Linked DNA regions of Macaca mulatta. Each later gene encodes a partner of the first gene's protein in a complex. Links are inferred from orthologs where the notes say so. Each region holds a gene or a part of one and is shown on either strand. Other genes may lie near its edges.

Evidence for each region. The genes of interacting proteins can lie anywhere in the genome.
Region 2: the proteins of ACADM (region 1) and ETFA are in contact, whole or in part, in a crystal structure (PDB 2A1T), measured with the Homo sapiens proteins. The link is inferred for Macaca mulatta from reciprocal best matches to the Homo sapiens genes ACADM and ETFA. Residues at the interface, in NP_000007.1 of Homo sapiens: Pro163, Lys173, Pro211, Gln232, Arg235, Glu237, Val251, Glu253; in NP_000117.1 of Homo sapiens: Arg223, Lys226, Arg249, Asp253, Ala283, Ile284, Gln285, Glu304.

The regions. Positions count from the first base shown.
Region 1 is NC_133406.1:164,849,274-164,859,994, reverse strand, and holds the start of ACADM (medium-chain specific acyl-CoA dehydrogenase, mitochondrial), read left to right. Parts: upstream 1-5,728; 5' UTR 5,729-6,090; coding exon 6,091-6,120; intron 6,121-9,706; coding exon 9,707-9,794; intron 9,795-10,721. UniProt on the Homo sapiens protein: Medium-chain specific acyl-CoA dehydrogenase is one of the acyl-CoA dehydrogenases that catalyze the first step of mitochondrial fatty acid beta-oxidation, an aerobic process breaking down fatty acids into acetyl-CoA and allowing the production of energy from fats.
Region 2 is NC_133412.1:54,428,904-54,439,454, reverse strand, and holds the start of ETFA (electron transfer flavoprotein subunit alpha, mitochondrial), read left to right. Parts: upstream 1-3,961; 5' UTR 3,962-4,025; coding exon 4,026-4,064; intron 4,065-10,551. UniProt on the Homo sapiens protein: Heterodimeric electron transfer flavoprotein that accepts electrons from several mitochondrial dehydrogenases, including acyl-CoA dehydrogenases, glutaryl-CoA and sarcosine dehydrogenase.

The DNA of each region.
Region 1 (10,721 bases):
TTAACTTTTAGCAAACTTTACTTTTGTTGAAAACCTTGTAAGTTTGGGATTTTAACTATCCTTTGCTATTAATAAGACCTTGTTTTGTCCAAATTAGAATTGGTATGATGGCTTTTAAAGGAACAGGGGACAATTTTTTTTTTCTTAACTACTTATATATTTCTCTCTTTCTTTCTTTCTCTCTTTGACTTCCCTTTTGCCTCTGTCTACTCCTCTCTCTCTGCCTCTGTCTTTCTCTCTCTCTCTCCGCCTCTTTCTCTCTCTCTCTCTCCCCACCTCTCTCTCTCTCTCTCTGACTCCCTCTTTGTCTGTCTCTTCTTCTCTGTCTCTTCCACTCTCTCTCTTTGCCTCTTTTCCTCTCTGTCTCTTTCTTTTCTCTCTCTCTGCTGGTCTTTCCTTGCCTCTGCCAGCTGCTTATGCTGCTGTTCTCTGAACCACTGTGTGTTGGGGGAGGGGGATCTAAAACAAGCTGGTCTGGGTTCCCTGGCTTACAAGTTACCTTGTGCCATACCTTTGAAACAAGGGATCTGTCCACGCTTCCTTCTAACGGCCAACCTACCTCTAATGCTGGCCAGTCTATCTTACACAAAGTTTTAAGTTTTCCTGGTGTCAGAGTACTCCATAGTCTCCCTTAAATCCTTTTTTTGAAATTTTTCAACATAGCTCCTAGTGCGTTGGGCTTACTTTGTGCCTCACCTATGTTTCCTCTAGACAAAACACCACGCTCACACCACACGCACACCACAAAACAAAGAATGGGTAAAAAGGGCACACACACACTTGTGTAGTTTACACCAAACCAAAATCAAAACCAAAATCAGAGTATCCAGAAATCCAAGCCAGGGCAAAACCAAAACCAAAGTATCAAGCAATCCAAGTCAAGTCAAAAACAAAAACCAAAGTGCCGGTACAGGCACACAGTGGGCGATCAGGCCACACTTCCACTCAAATGGAGTAGGTAAGTTCCCAAAACCAATCCTATCAAGCAATTCAAACCAAGTCAAAACCAAAACCAAAACCAAAGTGCTGGTACAGGCACACCATGGGTGATCAGGCCACGCTTCCACTCAAATGGAGTAGGCAAGTTCCCAAGACCAATCCTGTCAAGCAATTCAAACCAAGTCAAAACCAAAACCAAAGTGCCGATAAAGGCACACCGTCGGTGATCAGGCCACGCTTCCACTCAAACGGAGTGGGCAAGTTTCAAAGACTAGTCTTACCAAGTTTTAGATGTCCAGACTCCAAGTGCCCGTTCCTTCCAGGTGTTCAGCCACTGCGTTGATCCTCCACGTGGGCCTGCCACACACTGCTCTGGTGAAGCATCCCACTGGGGGAAATGCCTACCCGGGAGCGCTCTCAGGATCCGCGTTGCTCGGGCTGGTCTGAGTCCCCTGAAGGGATGTTCCACAGGGCAGGCTTAAGCCGCCTAAGGAGCTGCCTTGACCATCCACCATTCACCTTGCTTCCCGGTCAGGGAACCAAGAAATGTAGCAGAACGAGCGCAGACAAAACTCCTCAGACACCGAGTTACAGAAGGAAGGGGTTTATTCGGCCGGGGGCATCGGCAAGACTTTAGTCTCAACAGCCGAGCTCCCCGAGTGAGCAATTCCTGTCCCTTTTAAGGGCTCACAACTCTAAGGGGGTGCATGTGAGACGGTCGTGATTGATTGAGCATGCAGGGGGTATGTGACTGGGGGCTGTGTGCACCAGTAATTAGATCGGAACAAAACAAGATAGGGATTTTCACAGTGCATTTCTATACACTGTCTGTAATCTATAGATAACAGAACCAATTAGGTCAGGGGTCGATCTTTAACTACCAGGCCCAGGGTACGGTGCCGGGCTGTCTGCCTGTGGATTTCATTTCTGCCTTTTTGTTTTTACTTCTTCTTTCTTTGGAGGCAGAAATTGGGCATAAGACAATATGAGGGGTGGTCTCCTCCCTTAGTGAAATGTCATCAGTTAAGGCAAGGACCGGCCATTTTCACTTCTTTTGTGGTGGAATGTCATTGGTCATGGCAGGGCAGGGCATTTTCACTTCTTTTGATTCTTCAGTTACTTCAGGCCATCTGGGGGTATTCGTGCAAGTCACAGGGGATGTGATGGCTTGGCTTGGGCTCAAAAGCCTGACACTCTCCCTGCTGATCATGTCTAGCTAATCTCCCAAAGCCCAATCCCTTCTACAAAACAACTCCTTTCCTTCCTAGGCATGGTTAGTGCGGTCAGAATTCGTACACAAGAGTTGGGACCGTGTCCTGTAGCCTTTCTGTCCAAGCAACTTGACCTTACTGTTTTAGCCTAGCCCTCATGTCTGCATGCAGCAGCTGCCACTGCTTTAATACTGTACCACGTCCTGTAGCCTTCCTGTCCAAACAACTTGAACTTACTGTTTTAGCCTAGCCCTCATGTCTGTGTGTAGCAGCTGCCACCACTTTAATACTGTTAGTGGCCTTAAAAATCACAAACTATGCTCAACTCTCTACAGTTCTCATAACTTCCAAATCTATTTTCTTCCCCCAACCATCACTCAAGACAACGCTTATGTTGATAAAGTAACTAAAAAGCAGCCATCAAAAAGCATCAGATTCCATCGCTCAGGACAATGCTTATGCTGATAAGTTAGCTAAAAAAGCAGCTAGCGTTCCAACTTCTACCCCTCACAGCAGTTTTCCTCCTTCTCACTCTCACCTACTTCCCCACTGAAACTTCCACCTATCAATCTCTTCCCACACAAGGCAAATGGTTCTTGACCAAGGAAAATATCTCCATCCAGCCTCACAGGCCCATTCTATTCTGTCGTCATTTCATAACCTCTTCCATCTAGGTTACAAGCCGCTAGCCTGTCTCTTAGAACCTCTCATTTCCTTTCCATCCTAGAAATCTATTCTCAAAGAAATCACTTCTCAGTGTTTCGTCTGCTATTCTACTACTCCTCAGGAATTTCTCAGGCCCCCTCCCTTTCCTACACATCAAGCTCAGGGATTTACCCCTGCCCAGGACTGGCCAATTGACTTTACTCACACGCCCCAAGTCAGAAAACTAAAATATCTCTTAGTCTAGGTAGACACTTTCACTGGATGGGTACAGGCCTTTCCCACAGGGTCTGAGAAGGCCACTGCGGTCATTTCTTTCCTTCTTTCTCGGTTTGGCCTTCATACCTCTATACAGTCTGATAATGACCAGCCTTTAATAGTCAAATCACCCAAGCAGTTTCTCAGGCTCTTGGGATTCAGTGAAACCTTTATATCCTTTAGCATCCTCAATCTTCAGGAAATGTAGAATGGACTAATGGTCTTTTAAAAACACACCTCACCAAGCTCAGTCCCCGACATAAAAAGGACTAGACAATACTTCTACCACTTTCCCTTCTCAGAATTCAGGCCTGTCCTTGGAATGCTAGAGGCGACTGCCCATTTAAGCTCCTGTATAGGCACTCCTTTTTATTAGGTCCCAGTCTCATTCCCGACACCAGCCCACCTTGAACTGCACCCCAAAAACTTAGAGCCTAAAAACTCACCAACCAAGCAAGTAATTATGCTGACTCCCCCCCCCTTAGGCTCTCTCTAATTAGCTGTCCTAGGTCCTCCCAATTCTTAGTCCTTTAATACCTGTTTTTTCTCCTTTTCTTATACAGACCTTGTGTCTTCCGTTTAGTTTTTCAGTTCATACAAAACCGCATCCAGGCCATCACCAATCATTCTATGTGACAAATGCTCCTTCTAACAACCCCATAATATCACCTTTTACCACAAGATCTCCCTTCAGCTTAATCTCTCCCACTCTAGGTTCCCACGCCACCCCAATCCCACTTGAAGCAGCCCTGAGAAACATCGCCCATTCTCTCTCTCCATACCACCCCCCAAAAACTTTTGCTGCCCCAACACTTCAACACTATTTTGTCTTATTTTTCTTAATATAAGAAGGCAGGAATGTCAGGCCTCTGAGCCCAAGCCAAGCCATCGCATTCCCTGAGACTTGCACATACATGCCCAGATGGCCTGAAGTAACCAAAGAATCACAAAAGAAGTGAAAATGCCCTGCCTGCCTTAACTGATGACATTCCACCACAGAAGAAGTGAAAATGGCCAGTCCTTGCCTTAAGTGATGACATTACCTTGTGAAATTCCTTTTCCTGGCTCATCCTGGCTCAAAAGCTCCACCACTGAGCACCTTGTGACCCCCTACTCCTGCCCTCCAGAGAACAACCCCCCTTTGACTGTAATTTTCCTTTACCTACCCAAATCCTATAAAACGGCCACACTTCGCTCTCTTTTCGGACTCAGCCCACCTGTACCCAGGTGATTAAAAAGCTTTATTGCTCACACAAAGCCTGTTTGGTGGTCTCTTCACACGGACGTGAATGACACCACTTTGACGGCTTTCTTGCCTCTACCAGGACAAACTCAGTTCTTTATCTCTTTTCTGAATTTTCCTGGTACTTTTACTCTGAATATACTGCTTAATTAACATTCTGCCTTGTACCTAGGACTAACACACTAAACTCCCAGAAGACAAAGTAGGAGAATACAATAACAGGATATAAAATTTTAACAGCCAAGTTAGAATGAATTTATGGCTGACCTTTATTGGGCAAAAGAAAATGTTGTTAGTGTAAGATTTAGGGGTGTAGTGACCAAGGCGTAAACTAGGATGGCAGCAATGAAAGGGAAGAGTCCCGAGTAACATGGGAAACATTTACACTGCATGTTTCACATGTCCGTGTGAAAAGATCACCAAACAGGGTGTGTGTGAGCAACATGGCTGTTTATTTCACCCGGGTGCAGGCGGGCTGAGTCCGAAAAAGGAGTCAGCAAAGGGTGGTGGGATTATCATTGGTTCTTACAGGTTTTGGGACAGGCGGTGAAGTTAAGAGCAATGTTTTGGGGACAGGGGGTGAAGCTCAACAAGTACATTCCCAAGGGTGGGGAGAATTACAAAGAAACTTCTTAAGAGTTGGGTAGATTACAAAGTGCATCGATCAGTTAGGGTGAGCAGAAACAAATCACAATCCGTTAAGTTATTTTCACTTCTGTGGATCTTCGGTTGCTTCAGGCCATCTGGATGTATACATGCAGGTCACTGGGGATATGATGGCTTAGCTTGGGTTCAGAGGCCTGACACTGAAGGCTTGCATTTGGGCTTTTATTAGCTTTAACAACGAGGTATCTAAACCTGGACAGTTTCACAAACACCCATTTTAAAACATTCCAGCTACCATCTCAAAACTCTCTCAAAACTCAGGGTCTTACTGGAAGAGAAAGTGACTCCACCTAGAATTCCTCAGGGAGACATTCACTTCCATCATTGGCTGACCACGAGCTTTAGACAGCCTCTACTGCACCCGCATACCAAGGACACCACATCCACATCAGCCCACAAGTCATAAATAGCCTTGGAAATACGTGGAAAGGTCAAATTTACGTAAGCAATTAAATTCTCTTTTAAATTTTAAGGAAACACAAACATGCCTTTGCTTTAGTTAAGGCATTTGAGAGCAAAATGTATTAATACTTTGAATCCGCCAAGCAGACACAATCTGGGTTTGACCGTTCTCTGCGGGTGAAGGTGAAGGCTGAGCACGGGGCCGCTCTCCTTCCAAGTCCCAGCCGCGCCCTCTCACCCAGTTTCCCATCCTGCACCGTGCCGCACGTCCCCCACCATTCAGCGCCACCCGGCCCTCCCAGCCCCGCCCCGTCCTTCTCCTCCGCCCTGGCTCTCTCTCCGCGCTAGTATCAGCCTCGGCGTCCCACAGAGAAGGCAAGACGTGGGCAGGCAGAGAACCAGACCAGGCTTATCAGGGATTGCCGGTAGAGGGGATGCAACCCCTCCCCAGGTCGCACCCACGACGCAGGCAAGGGTCATGGAGCATGCGTTGAATACCCCGGCCGGCGACCGCTCCCACCCCGACGGCTCTCACCCGGCCTGGCGCAGTGCCCCCTCCTTCCGCTGCCCAGCCGCCTCTTCCCGCCCCGCCCCGCCCCATCCCGCCCACGGGCCCCAGTGGGCGGGACCAGCGGAGTCCGGCGCTGGGGGAGTCTGTCAAGGCCGTGACCCGTGTAATATTGTCCTAGTGGCCGAACGGGAGCCAACATGGCAGCGGGTTTCGGGCGATGCTGCAGGGTGAGAGAGAGCCCAGCGGTGCGGTAGGGGCAGGGACATGGATATTGTGTGGGAGCACGGGGCCCTGGACCAAAAATAGGTGCGGCCGGGAGGAGTGGGAAGTCGGGTTGAGGAAGGAGCTTGCCTGCCTAGGGGTCCCCACCTGCTTTCACGCCTCCTACCACCGGACGGAATGTAGCCTGGCGTTTCATTTTCCGTATCCTCCCGTCAGCCGACCCCGTTATAGCCGGCATCCTCTCTTTAGAATATCGTTTTTCTTTCTCTGGTAAACCCTCCAAATATTTACCCCGGGAATCCCACCTTTTCCCGAAGTGACCCGGTCTCTGTGTCAGAACCACGGGAAAAATGAAAATGGAGCAGCTACTCCTTGAGATACTTAATATGTTTAGTAAGCTTTTCGTTGTGTAATATGGTGGAGGACGCTTCCACGTTGCTTACTGGGAAAAAAAAGTAAAAGAAAAAACCTACCGCAGGATTTTATGTGAACTTGTCTGTATATTCTAGTATTGGGTCTTAACAGATTCTAAATAAGTTTGTCATTAGATGCACTTTGGTATCTTAAATATTCTTGACATGTTCACACGACTGCCATTTAGATGTCACTTAAAATTAAGTTAAAGTTATGTCTTTGACCAAAAAAGCTGAGGTTTTAGAATAATCCTAAAGAATTGCTGCCCATATTTTACTGCTGTTATTCAAGTTAATGTGCAGTGAAGGCAGAAATTGGGGGATTTCAGCTATTTTTAACTCCAACACCAGAAAAGCAGATTTCTGAACCTTCCAAGGAAGGATCTAAAAAAAAACCTGATAGAGAAAACGTATACCCTTTTTCTCTTCTTTAACCCATAAAACTAACACTTTTATATTCCCAAGAAATGCACAAAAGTGTTCAATTCTAATGGTGCTATTTCGATATTTGGAATTTCATTGTTCTAGACAGAGAGCCCGAGGTAATAAAACCAATATTTATATAGCATTAGGCTTTCAAAACATTATCTTACTTTAATCGTTCAAAAATACGCAGTGAGATTAGCACCATTTTTCGGTTTTGAACGGAAGCTATAAGCAGTTTGTAACCTGTCTACGGCCATAAATATAGTTGTGGAACCTAGATTCAAATTCAGCAATTGTAACTCCAGATCCCTTCCTATTTCTGTTTTCTATTTGTAAACCACCTCTCTAACTGGCTAACTTTGTTGTGTAATTAACAGGTTGATGGACATTGTATTCTGGTAATAGCAACCTTTGCACTTTGTTCTATGTAACATATTTTCCTGAACAGTCACATGTGAAGTGACTTTTTCCCTATTTAAAGTCTCTCGGTTGGCCGGACGCGGTGGCTCACGCCTGTAATCCTAGCACCTTGGGAGGACTAGGCGGGTGGATCACTCAAGGCCAGAAGTTCAAGACCAGCCTGGCCAACGTAGGGAAACCCTGTCTTTACTGAAAATACGACAAATTAGCTGGGCATGGTAGCATACGCCTGTAATCCCAGGAGACTGAGTTTGCAATGAGCAGCGATCTCCCCACTGCATTCCAGCCTGGGTGACAGAGGGAGACTGTCAAAAAAAGTCTCTCAGTAGACCATTTAACCTGGTTTGAGTTCTGACTTTTGTGCATGGGATTTAAAAACGCATTTATAATAGTCAGTTTTTTGGTTCTGATTTTTGCAGAATGTTTTCCTTTGTTATGAAACCTAGTGACCAATTAGGATACTAACAGAAAGATGAGTATAGCAAGGTGGTTAATAGCATGGGCTCTTGATAGTAAATGTTAGAATCCTGGTTGCACTAATAGTAGAGTGACTTTGCCTAATTTAGTTGACTTTCTGAGCCTTCGTTTCTTCACATGCGAAAATGGAATAAAAGTAATAACTTAATCCTAGACTTGACCTAGGATTCAGTGAATTAACCTGTGTAATGTGACTGTAAATCAGAGTAGATTTGGTCTGTGACTGCTGGACAATAAGGACCAGAGAAACGGTTTCACTTTTTTTTTTTTTTTTGAGACGAAGTCTTGCTCTGTCACTCAGGCTGGAATGCAATGGTGCAGTTTAGGCTCACTGCAACTTCCGCCTCCTGGGTTCAAGTGATTCTCCTGCCTCAGCCTCCCGAGTAGCTGGGACTACATACCACCACACCTGGCTTACTTTTGTATTTTTAGTAGAAATGGGGTTTCACCATGTTGGTCAGACTGGTCTCAAACCCCTGACCTTGTGATCCACCCACCTCAGCCTCCCAAAGTGCTGGGATTACACGCATGAGCCACCCCGCCTGGCACTGTTTCACTTTCAAAATAAAATGAATGAAGTTGCAAAGATAATGCGAGTTTTCATACTCTGTGTGTGTGTGTGTGTTTTTTAATTGTAGTATGAGTTATGTTATTTTGAAAGCGCTGTTTCAGTTACAAATATTTGATACTCTTAATTATATTGTCACCTTCCATGTAGGAAATCCTCTGTATAAGTTGAAATTGTCATCTACAAAGACAGTTTCTTTTTACAGATTTTGAAAAACATAAGAATTTAAATGTAGAAACTTTAGTATATTCTTCAGCTTCTCTTTTCTCTTAGTATCTCAGCTTGTTAAAATTGCCAGATAGTTCAGTTAAACTCTTTTACAGTGAAAATTGTGTAATTTTGGCTGTCCTGACACCTTTATACAGGAACACCATTGTGGTTCCCAGTTTGGCGGCTTTAATAAATGCAGATTTTTACTTTTGTATCCATTAAGCTGTCATGAATATAAAAACGGGTTGCAAAACAATAATATATGTATATTTGATTGTTTGTTTCTTTATATGTTCCTTTGAAGAAATATGAGTGTATTTCACATCCTAAGACAAGAAATGTATTAGTAGTTTAGAACAGGGATGGCAAACGTTTTTTGAAAAGGAGCAGATAGTACATGTTTTTGGCTTTGTGAACCATATGGTCTCAGTGGTAACTACTTAGATCTGCTGTGAAAGCAGCAATAGACAGCATGATGTGGCTGCCATAGTTTGGTGACTCCTTGCTCAGAACATTGTAAGAATGCCTGTAGACAGCAGAAAATACAGAACATGGTTTTATGCTAATTTGTTTTGTTAGAGTGGGGTATCCTAAAAAATGAGATCCTCTGAGGGGAAGGTTCCCAGAGGCATGCATGGGAGGCTCACAGGGACAGGGTATCAAAGTTGATGGACTAGGCAACTCTTGAACACAGTATGTTCACTTTCCACCTATCGTTCTTCCCACCCCAGCTCTCCAACCATCAAAGTCCTAGGAGCTTATAAGATACCCAGAATAGTGGTCCTACATCTACTAGTACCCTTGACTGTTGTTTGTCCTAAATCCTCCACTTCAGTAGTGTAAATACCACTGACTTTATTTTCATTACTTTTTAAAAACATCTCCTCTGTCATAGGAGTTTATATAACTGGTAATTGACTTATTTAAATTATGATTGAAGGCATTTAAATAGTGATGACTTTAAAAACTATGAGTATGGTCAAACAAGTTGTTGTACTCACTTACAATTATGAGTAGTCTCTTATCTGATTAATGTTTAAGTTATCAAATTTATTTTAATAAAACTGTTCTTTACAGGTCCTGAGAAGTATTTCTCATTTTCATTGGAGATCACAGCATACAAAAGCCGATCGACAGCGTGAACCAGGATTAGGATTTAGTTTTGGTATATGTTCTGTTCTATCTTTTGACTTTAAACTTACACATAAGAAGCTCTGTCTATGTATTTGTTTGGAGTACATTTGTAAATAAACTTAATAATGTCTTTCAATGAGTAGGACCAGTCCACCGTCCACAGATCGTTCCCAGTAACTCACACCCATTTTTCCTGATCTCATTTTCTTCCTCAGTATACTATACTATACATTAAATCTGTGTTAGTAGTATACATACACTTATATTCCTTCCTTTTTTTCTAAGTGTTTAGCCCAAAATCAATGAGATTTACTGATATATATGAATAGTCTTCAACTTATATATCTGAATGCCACAAATACATTTTAAAACACTTGTGAGATTACAATGCTAGGTGCCTGGTAATAAGCTAAAGCTTGTTTTTGCTATAATATATCCACATTGCAATTTTGGTACTATTAGGTGAAGTTCTCACTCCTGGCACCAGGGAGCCATGTAGTTGTTGTAAGGAAAAGGAATATGATTTTTCTTCCTCCCTCCTCTATAAAATGAAAACCACAGTCAAAAAATGTGAAATAATAATATCTATCTTTGGCATTCTTGGCCATCTAAAGTGCTTCTTCAAAATTTTTATTTTTTCTCTAGTTAAAAACCATTTACTCAATTCATTTGGTCTCAGAAAATAGTTAAAGGCAGCTGAGATAATCACAGCTAGGTACAAATGACAGTCTCAAAGCTCTCCAGAGTTATTGTTTGTTTTTATTGTTATGTTTTTAAAGATTTTTCCCTTTTCTTTATAAAGTTTTTTTTGGTTTTTTAACCAAATTTGATGAAGTTTTTCTTTTTCTTTTTCTTTCAGAAAAGATGAGGTTTCATTGTCTCATTATGTTGCCCAGGCCGATCTTAAACTCCTGGGCTCAAGCAGTTCTCTTATTTCAGCCTTCCAAAGTGCCGGGAT
Region 2 (10,551 bases), on another chromosome or scaffold:
AATGGAGGTGCAGAAATGAGTCCGTGATCAGAGGATTCCCTAAGCAATTCACAGGCTGGATCATCCAGACCCTGCCAGCTTGACAGGATATCGGAATGGCTGCTGAAGGCCCACTGGAAGCAGTAGCTTGGAGGTAGCACTTGATAAGGGTGGGCTCATCTTCAAGGATGCTCCTTGAACCAAAAACCTTTATATAGTGCTGGGATCTGCAAGGTTAGAGGTCTTTGTCCCCAATGGGGGAATCTTTCACCAGAGGATACAGCAAGAGTCCCATTGAGCTACAAGCTACAGTTGCCACCTGGGCACCTTGTACCAGAAGACCAGAAGGGGAGTCATCTTGGCTAAGAGTAATCCACTTGGGTGCCTCTGAGTCCTCCATTGCCCAATTATGACAATAAACAGGCTTGGAAAGGGCATGCTGGTCAGGGGTTGAGATTCTCAGTTCATGAGGCAGGACGGAGGCATTAGCCACTCAGACCAGGGGAGGTGCTAGCTGCACGAGGGGGAGATTTAGAATGGATACTGAGGAAGGAGATGATGAATACCAGTTGTGACCCCCAGAGACCTGCAGCAGCTGGGGCTATAGTTTGTCCCAGGGACCTTTCTCTTCCAAGTTTCCAGCAGGAATCCTGGAGGAGTCGCTCCTGAAATTGACCTGTGGAAGAGAAAGAGGTGTTGCTCCAAATATGCTGGAATCATCTTCAAGGGTTGGCTGTGGCAGTCCTTGAATCCTTCCTCCACCCTCTCTTTTCTGCCCTTTCTTCTTTGGACAAATATTTACTTTCTTTTTTTCTTTTTTCTTTTTTTTTGAGATGGAGTCTTGCTCTGTCATCCAGGCTGGAGTGCAGTGGTGTAATCTTGGCTCACTGCAATCGCTGCCTCCCAGGTTCAAGTGATTCTCATGCCTCAGCCGCTCGAGTAGGTAGTATTACAGGAACACACTACCACATTTGGTTAATTTTTGTATTTTTAGTAGTACCGGAGGTGGGGGTCTCGCCATGTTGGCCGGGCTGGTCTTGAACCCCTGACCTCAAGTGATCCGCCCACCTAGGCCTCCCAAAGTGCTAGGATACAGGTGTAAGTCATTGCACCTAGCCCATTGGACACATATTTCTATAAATGTTCGCTGAACGTCTAAAAATGAGAACCAGAAAAATAGGCTGGGCACAGAGGCTCACGCCTGTAATTCCAGCACTTTGGGAGGCCGCGACAGGCAGATCACCTGAGGTCAGGGTTTCGAGACCAATCTGACCAACATGGTGAAACGCCGTCTCTACTAAAAATACAAAAATTAGCTGGGCATGGTGGTGGGCACCCATAATTCCAGCTACTCGGGAAGCTAAGGCAGGAGAATCGATTGAACCCAGGACGTGGAGGTTGCAGTGAGCTGAGATCGCGCCACTGCACTCCAGCCTGGGTGACAGAGCGAGAATCCGTCTCAAAAATAAATAAAATAAAAATAAGTAAATAAAAGGAAACCATAGGTCCTGCCACCAAAGCAGCTCGTAACGGAGTAGGAAAGTTGTATACCTCTAGGGAAAATCCTCTAATAGAAATGTCTTAGCACACACATTTCTCTGGTACATGATGTGGTTGTGATTGTAGAACTCTGATATCCCTTCATCCCAAAGACTCAGGGGGCATTTCATGTGTGATCAGAACAAGTCATGTGTGATCAGAACAAGGTGTCACAGACTTTGCCCATTTTCAGCCTCTCCCTCAGCTCTGACCTGTTCTACCAGGAACTCCCAGGGGCAACAAGCCTCTGCCATGCACAGCTGCTATTGATTTGCCCAAGCCTGGGAGCTGCTGAATCTGCCCAGTGGGGGCGGGGCGGGGCAGCCGCTCTCCCCTTGTGTTTTGCTTTGTCATGGGTGGGGAGGCAGGGAAGGAGGTTAGTTTGTAGCCCAGTCTTTTACATGGTTTTTAGTAAAATATCCTTTTGGTAGGAACCAAAAGTACCCTTCCCTCTTCCTTCCACTCCCATAGGTCTCAGATTCTAGTCCAGTGCGGGACTGGGTTAGGAGGCAAATACAGTGAGACATGGAATACTAAATTGCCCCTCCCACAGGCAGATTGACTGGGGGGCAGGGGTCCACAGCTCTGTCTGTAACATGAGTTCAGACATGTTCACAGTGGGTGCGACTTAAGTTTAAGATGGGTCCTCACCTCCTTGTTCATAGAGCTAGAAGAGTGAAGAAGAGGAAAGGATTAATTCATCCTGGAAAATTGAGAAAGAGCTTACAAAAGAAATGTCACTTGAGCCAGGCATGGTGGCTCATGTCTGTAATCCCAGTACTTTGAGAGGCCAAGGTGGGAGGATCACTTGAGGCCAGGAGTTCGAGACCAGCCCTGGGTAACAGAGTGAGACCCTACCCCTACAAAAAAAAAAAAATAGCTGTGCATGGTGGCACATGACTGTAGTCCCAGCTACTTGGGAGGCTGAGGCAGGAAGATTGCTTGATCCCAGGAGTTCGAGACTGCAGTGAGCTGTGATGGCACCACTGCACTCCAGCCTGGGAAACAGAGACCTTGTCTTAAACAAAACAAAACAAAAGAATTGTCACTTGATCTGGGTTTTAAAGAGGCCTGTCAGATGGGGAAGGGAATTTCAGACAGAGGGAAGAGCTAAAGCACTGGGCCCTTAGAGAGATTGTTGGTTCAGACAAAGCTCTTGCTCCAGGGAATTTACACTCCAATGCCGGGAGATCTGCAATAAACAAACAAACACGTGCATCCTGTTAGGCGGTGACAAATGCCAAGAAGAAAAATCAAACACCGTGATAGGGCATCTGGGAGTGGCATGGGTGCCATTTCAGGTAGAGAGGCCAAGGTCGGCCTTTCTGCAAATGTGTTTTTTGAGCAGAGACCTGAATGAAGTGAGGAAGTAAGCCACGTGGGTAACAAGAGAAGGGCATTTCAGGCAGAGGGAACAGCCAGAGTGCAAAGCTCTGAGAGGAGCAGGCTTGTGTGCTCAAGAAGGCCCGTGTGTCTGGGGCACAGTCAGAGAAGAGGGCAGTGGGAGGAGAGGGAGCCACCCTAGGGCTTTGAGCAGAGGTCATGATCAGTCCATCAGTTTGGAGAAGAGGCTTCTGGAAACATGGGTAGAAACATAAAGACCAGCTAGGAGGCTTTGCAATGATCCAGGCAAGAGATGACAGGGTCCTGAGTGAAGGTGGTACTGGCGGAGGAGCAAAGGGGTGTTGGAGGATATTGCTGGATTCTGGTTATCTTTTGAAGGTAGAGTTAACGGGATTTGTTGATAGACTAGATAACATTGGAAAGGTAGGTTGTTGCTGAAATGGGAATTAAGACAATTTCTGAACATACCACTTCCTTTCTTAAAAATTTCGTGATAAAGTCCAGACTCATTAGCAGTCATTTATTCATTTGCTGATTCATTCAACACATACTGATTGAATGCCTAGTGAGGGCCAGGAATTGTGCTAGGTGTCGCAGGTAGACAGAAAATTTAAAAGTAGGGCATACTTTCTGCCCTTACAGATCTTTAGTCAGATGGGTGACACAGACAAGTACTTAGGTCATTACAACCCATGTGACAATTGCTACCATGGGGAAATACAGGGGGAAATAGGGGCATATGGGAAAGGTATCTAATTGGAGTTAGCAAGGCTCCACTCATACCTTAACCCGAGATCAGCTCAGTTTTTCAGTTCACTCTAGTAATGCTGCCCATTGCGGGGCAGTGAGACAGTACAGTCTGAGCTCGGTCATCAGCGGGTGGCCAGCTTTGTCGCTGCAGCTCCGCGGCCCGGGATTACTCGAAGGTCCCCTGGGAATAGCCTCACCTTTGCCCCACTTCCCAGTCTAGCCCCTAACTTCCCGCCGTCTATTGGCTGCGCAGCCGCCCAATGGGCAGGCGGGAACCGCGGGCTCGCGCTCCCAGCCTAGGGCGTCTGATCTCGTTCGCGCGTCTCGCGAGCATTAGGTGACTGGCTGAGGCGACGCCAGTTGGCCGGGCACGGGGTTGCTGTGAGGCCGAGGTTGCGGCGGAAGCAGAGAACATGTTCCGAGCTGCGGCTCCGGGGCAGCTCCGACGGGCGGTGAGTCCGGACTGGGAAGGCGAACCCAGGGACGGTCCCCCGTCAACCCGCCGTCCCTATAGGGTCTTGCAAACGTCACCGCTCCCTCAGACCCGACCAGCCCACGCGCCCACAGGCCGGTCCCCGCCTGGGACTTGGGTCCAAAGTTCTGGGGCCTGCCCTGGACTCCTTCGGGGCCGCCAGTTCGGGGCAGAAGTCAGAGGTTGGGGGTCAGGGTGACTCCGAATGGTGTGAATTTGAGCGTCTGCTGCCCCTTCTAGCCCACTCTCTGCCCTGACGCTTCCCACATTTGTCGGTCACTCTGGACACTTTCGGGCCGCCAGGCCCTCCACACTTGCTCCACACCCGAGGGAGCAAAATGTCGCCGGGGAATGCCCTGTTGGGGACAGTTTCAAACCTGCATTCCTCCCGGAGGCCGGCATTTCTGGAAGAATTAAACACTTTGGGCGCATTGTGGCCGCTCCGACCCACTCACTGTCAAGGGCGGGGGTGGGGCGGGGGGGTGGGAGGCGGCGTGGCCAGTTATGGAAGCTGGCTCTGCTTTCTGGTTTATGGAGCAGGGCTGAGTTGAGGCGATTGTATTTGTAAAACCTGTGATCAGATTTGACAGCTTTAGCCAGTTTTGAAAGGCAGACGTCTTTTTATATGCTGCAGGCTGACCTGCTTTTAACCAGCAGATTGTAGGTTAAATAGCTTAACTGGTGACAGTGGTACATTTTCAGTGTTTCATTAGTGACAAACCACGTTTTTCTCTTCTGTTGTGAGAAGGACTGATAGGAAACATTTTTGTTCTCATGATGTGGGAGAGTACTATTTGGAGACTGACCAGGCACCAGTCGAGTAACAATAATTTATATTGTGGATTCTATAGTTTTCCAAGTTTACATTTAGGTGAAATGAGAAACAAGATTGGTAAACCTGGGTCAGAAACTTACCTGATGGTTTGTACCTTTTCTCCTTTTTTTTTTTTTTCTGTGCATGAATATTTCCCCATCCACTCCTGGGATTTTTCTCTCTGAGGCATAGCTGGAGCTCTTTCTAGATGTCTGTAGACATTAGACTTTTTTTTTTTATTTATTTAAGAGACAAGGTCTGACTCTGTTGCCCATGCTAGAGTGGAGTGCAGTGGCACGATATGGGCTCACTGCAACCTTCGCCTCCCGGGTTCAAGCGATTCTCCCACCTCAGCTTCCTGAGAAGCTGGGACCGCAGGTGTGCATCATCACTCCTGGCTAATTTTTTTTTTTTTTTTTTTTTTTTTGGTAGAGACGGGGTTTCGCCATATTGCCCAGGCTGGTCTTGAACTCTTGGCCTTAAGTGATCCACTTGCCTCGGCCTCCGAAAGTCCTGGAATGACAGGCCTGAGCTACCGCGCCTGGCTGTAGACATCTTTTTTCTTGTGCGTATTCCTTGTTTGATAAAAAGTCTGACCCTGCCTTCCCCTAAAGAGTTCAAACCCATGTCTTTCAGGTTAGTGTCCTGTCTTCCCCTCAGGACGTATTTTCTCCCATTAGGGGATCTGGATATAAACAAGTGAAAGTCATGAATTTGGGGAAATTCTGGGAACCTGAGCCAGAAGAATGCTGGTCTATGCAGCAGTTGGAAAACAGTTTTGTGGACAGATTACAAGTCTGGCCTCAGTGAAATTATAATTGTGGTGGGGGATGGAATTTAGGACTCAGTAACTTTGTAGAGCTAACAGAAAAAAATAGAATGATTAAGTAATTCTTACTATCCCCATCATTGGCTAATGTGTTAGACATTACTTCCAGATACTCATTGTGGTTTGCCAAAGACTTTGACCTTGACTTATTTTTAAAATTTGAAGTCAAGCTAAGTAGAATAGCTGTTTTAAAGTCATTAAGAATGTTGGAGAGATTTGAATTTCTAGCATAAAAGAAATGGTAGCAAGACTTCTAAAGTGAACCCATAAATTAATAGGGACATATACCTGTATTTAACTTTTTAAATTTTGAAATATTTGCACTTATAGAAAAGTTGCAAGAATAGTACAGAGAAATCTCAAAACCCTTCCCCTGGTTTTCCCATCCTGTTAGCAGTTTGACACATGTGCTTTATCTTTCCGCATACATACATAATACTATCTGTCTGAACTATTTGAAAGTATGTTGCAAATGTACCCTTTACTCCTAAATAATTCAGTGATATTTTAAAAGAACAAAGAGGTTCACTTTCTAACTACACTGTAATTGGCAATATCTGGAAGTTTCACCATAAAATACTGTTTTCTAATCTCTGGATGTTCAATTTTGCCAGTTGTCCCATTAGTACAGTTTGTAGCAGTTTTCCTTATTCTGGTCTAAGATACTCTAGATGTCAAGTGGTTATCATGTCTCTCTTACTCTGTTAGAAAGGTTCCTCAGCCTTCCTTTGGGTTTGATGACATTGGTGTATTTGAAGAGTACAGGCCTTCTATTTTCCAGACTGTCACTCAATTTGGGTTTATCTGGTGTTTCCTCATGATTGGATTCAGGTTATGTATTCTTGGTGAGAATATCACAAAAGTGGTATTGTGTTCCCCGTGCATCATATTAGGAGGTACTTAATGTTGGTTTATCCCATTAGTGGTAATGCTAACTTTAGTTACTTAGCCAATGTGTTGTTTGCCAGGTTTCTGCACTGTCAAGTTAATACTCCTCCTTTTGTAATTTTTAACTAATTTATGAGGAGATACATTGAGACTATGTGACTCTTCTATTTCGCATCAGACTTTTACCCAGTCTTAGCATCTGTTGATGATTTTTACCTGAGAAATGATTACTGTGATGCAAAATGGTGATTTTCTATTTTCATGATACCTTCTACATTTTTTAGTTATTCTACTATAAGGAAGAACATTATCTTCTTGCATATTTATGGATTTATGGATACATAGATCCTTATTTAGGATAATACATTTCTACCTTATGCTCACGTTGTCTCATTTGTATAGTGGGGCACATTCAATCTGACTCTTGTTTGTTTACATATATATGTTTATGATATCACAAAGTCAAAATAGCTTATCTTAAATCCCTACTCTTGAAATAAAAAAAAAAAATTGTTCTGTAGCTAACCATTAATACATTTAGGAAGAGGATACATTTCCAAAACCATATTAAAAAAAATAAAGTTAGGAATTATAGTTAAAGGTTACCATAAACTGTTAACAATGTGAATATAGTTAACACTACTAAACTATACACTTAGAAATGGTTAAGATGGGGCCAGCCATGATGGCTGACACCTGTAATCCCAGCTCTTTGGGAGGCTGAGGCGGATGGATCACCTGAGCTCAGGAATTCGAGACCAGCCTGGGCAACATGGCGAAACCCCATCTCTAGCAAAAAAAAAAAAAAAAAAAAAATTAGCCAGGCGCCATGGCGCACACCTGTAGTCCCAGCTGCTTGGAAGGCTGAGGCACGAGAATTGCTTGAACCTGGGCGTTTGAGGCTGCATTGAGCCCAGATAGCACCACTGCCCTCCAGCCTGCGCAACAGAGTGAGGCGCTGTCTCAAAAAAAAAAAAAAAAAGGTTGGTAAATTTTATGTAGTTTTAAAAATCACTTTGTTAAACTATTAGAATATAAGTTCAATGACTTGCATTTGGTATCTAAGTTCCATTTTTAGTTCTGACTGATTTGTGCCATTGAGTAAAGTCTTTCATCCTTGTGTGTGTGGCAGTGGTCCTTAAAGTCATCTGTTAACAAAGATAGTTTTTGTATCTATAATAAAGAGCTAGAGAACACACCGAGAGGAAAATAGGTAGGCGTTTGCAATTAGTTAATATTCTTGCAGGGATATTAATCCTAATTATTGTTATTATTTTATTAATTTGCTCTTGAAATTGATTTATTGAAGAATAAGAAGATGCAAAAAAATTTATGTGGTGAGTGAAACAACAGTTTCAAGGTCATTTGAGTACTCTTGTTACTGTGTTTATTGTCAAGTGGGAAGGAATATCAGGATTGAAAAGCTAAGAAATTGGTGTGAAGCAACATGACACTTTTCTGTCTAGTATTGATGAATAAGATTGAAGTCTGTAATTTGTATGGAAATTTTAATTCTACTGAAAGAAGAAAGAGAGCCAATTTTGGTGTGATTCTAAAAGAAAATTTATTGCATAAGGTGAATTCAGTAAAATTATGATGCCTGCCAATGTGTCTACTAAGAGTCTTGTCTGTTCTTTTTTGTTTTGTTTTTTGAAACGGAGTCTCTTTCTGTTGCCCAGGCTGGAGTGCTGTGGTGCGATCTCAGGTCACTGCAAGCTCCGCCTCTCAGGTTCATGCAATTCTCCTGCCTCAGCCTCCCAAGTAGCTGGGACTACAGGTGCCTGCCACCACGCCTGGCTAATTTTTTGTATTTTTAGTAGAGATGGGGTTTCACTGTGTTAGCCAGGATGGTCTCCATCTCCTGATCTCATGATCCAGTTGCCTTGGCGTCCCGAAATGCTGGGATTACAGGCGTGAGCCACCGCGCCCGGCCTGTCTGTTCTTAAAGTGAAGTAAATTGACTGTGTTTTCAGTATTACAGTCAATGTTATATAACATTTATGGTTATGATTAAAAACTGCTATATTTTATTACTAAAAAGATTAAAGGAAGTATTTAAAGTACAGAAATACAATATACATTTTTAAAATTACAAAATGTATGATAAAATCGGGCTAGGTGACTTTATACATTATTTATCCTTTTGGGTATGACTTAGAAAGATTTTATAGCTTATTCTTGCTGTTTTTCTTTTTTCTTTTTTTTTTTTTTTTGAGACGGAGTCTGGCTCTGTCGCCCGGGCTGGAGTGCAGTGGCCGGATCTCAGCTCACTGCAAGCTCCGCCCCCCGGGTTTACCCCATTCTCCTGCCTCAGCCTCCCGAGTAGCTGGGACTACAGGCGCCCACCGCCTCGCCCGGCTAGTTTTTTGTATTTTTTAGTAGAGACGGGGTTTCACCGTGTTCGCCAGGATGGTTTCGATCTCCTGACCTCGTGATCCGCCCGTCTCGGCCTCCCAAAGTGCTGGGATTACAGGCTTGAGCCACCGCGCCCGGCCTGTTTTTCTTTTTTTAATTAAGAAGCAAAAAAACTGGCTGGGAGTGGTGGCTCATGGCTGTAATCCCAGCACTTTGGGAGGCCGAGGTGGGCGGATCACGAGGTCAGGAGTTTGAAACTAGCCTGACCAACACGGTAAAACCCCATCTCTACTAAAAATACAAAAAATAGCTGGGCGTGGTGGTGCATGCCTGTAATCCCAGCTACTTAGGAGGCTGAGGCAGGAGAATCGCTTGAACCCGGGAGGTGGAGGTTGGAGTGAGCTGAGATTGCGCCACTGCACTCCATCCTGGGAGACAGAGCAAGACTCTGTCTCAAAAAAAAAAAAAAAAAAAAAAAAAAAAAAGCAAAAAACCCTCCCCTGCCCTCTATACCCTCATTACATCTAGTTTCCAAAGATGGTTGGGGCGGAGGTATGGGTTAAAATCATTCTTACTACTTTAGGTTATGAGTGGGTTTGTAAGGGTAGAGAGTTAGATTCCAGCTTTTTTTCTTCTTCTGGCATCTGTGGTAGTTTATGTGAATATACAGTTCATGTTACAGGAAGAACTCTAAAAAACTGAAAAGCAAAAACAATGTCAAAAATGAGGCTGACGCTGGGCACAGTGTCATGTGCCTGTAGTCACAGCTACTCAGGTGGCTGAGGCAGGAGGATCACTTGAGTCCAGGAGACCAGCCTGAGCAGCATGGCAAGCAAGACCCACTCTCTAACACCCACCCCCACAAGGAAAAAAAAAAAAAAAAAGCTATTGAGTTGAACAAGAGAAGGACCAAACTGTGTTCACTGGACTTAGCCATAAGGAAGTTTTTGGTGATTTTGGAAAGATTGGATTCAGTGTTGTGGAAGTAAAAGCCAGTTTGGGTGAGTAATTGAAAAAATGGAAGGTGAGGTAATAGAGTTGGTGTCTGTGGAAATTATTTTCAAGAAGTTTGGCTTTGAAAGGGTGCAGAGAGGGTGATAATCTCTTTAAATCCTGCCCACAAGAAGTATACTATCTCATAAAGGCCAGTCAACTTTATATGGGTATGTGGCTGGCATGAGAAAGAAAACTTCATATTTTACTATTTGCAACCAAGTCTAAACAGTATAGAGAACTTCTCTAAAAGCATGATGGGGTGTCTGTTTTAGTGATGTAACAGTTTATATACTGTTTAGTTACCCTTACACATGTTTAGATGATTACATTATCAATGAGGAAACAGTTGCTTTTTAGTTTTTGATAATTTTAAGAAAAGTTTTCATTTAGTTATTATTTATTGAGGGCCAGCTGTGTGCCAGAGAAGTAGATACCAAGTTCACAGTGGAGAACAAGACAGACCTAGTCCCTGCCCTTGTGATGCAAACAGATTGAGGAAGAAACACATTATTTTAAGTGTGGTCATTGTTACAGAACATAGAGGGTGTTTGGGAGAGGTTTTATATTGTTAGAAGGCTGGAAAAC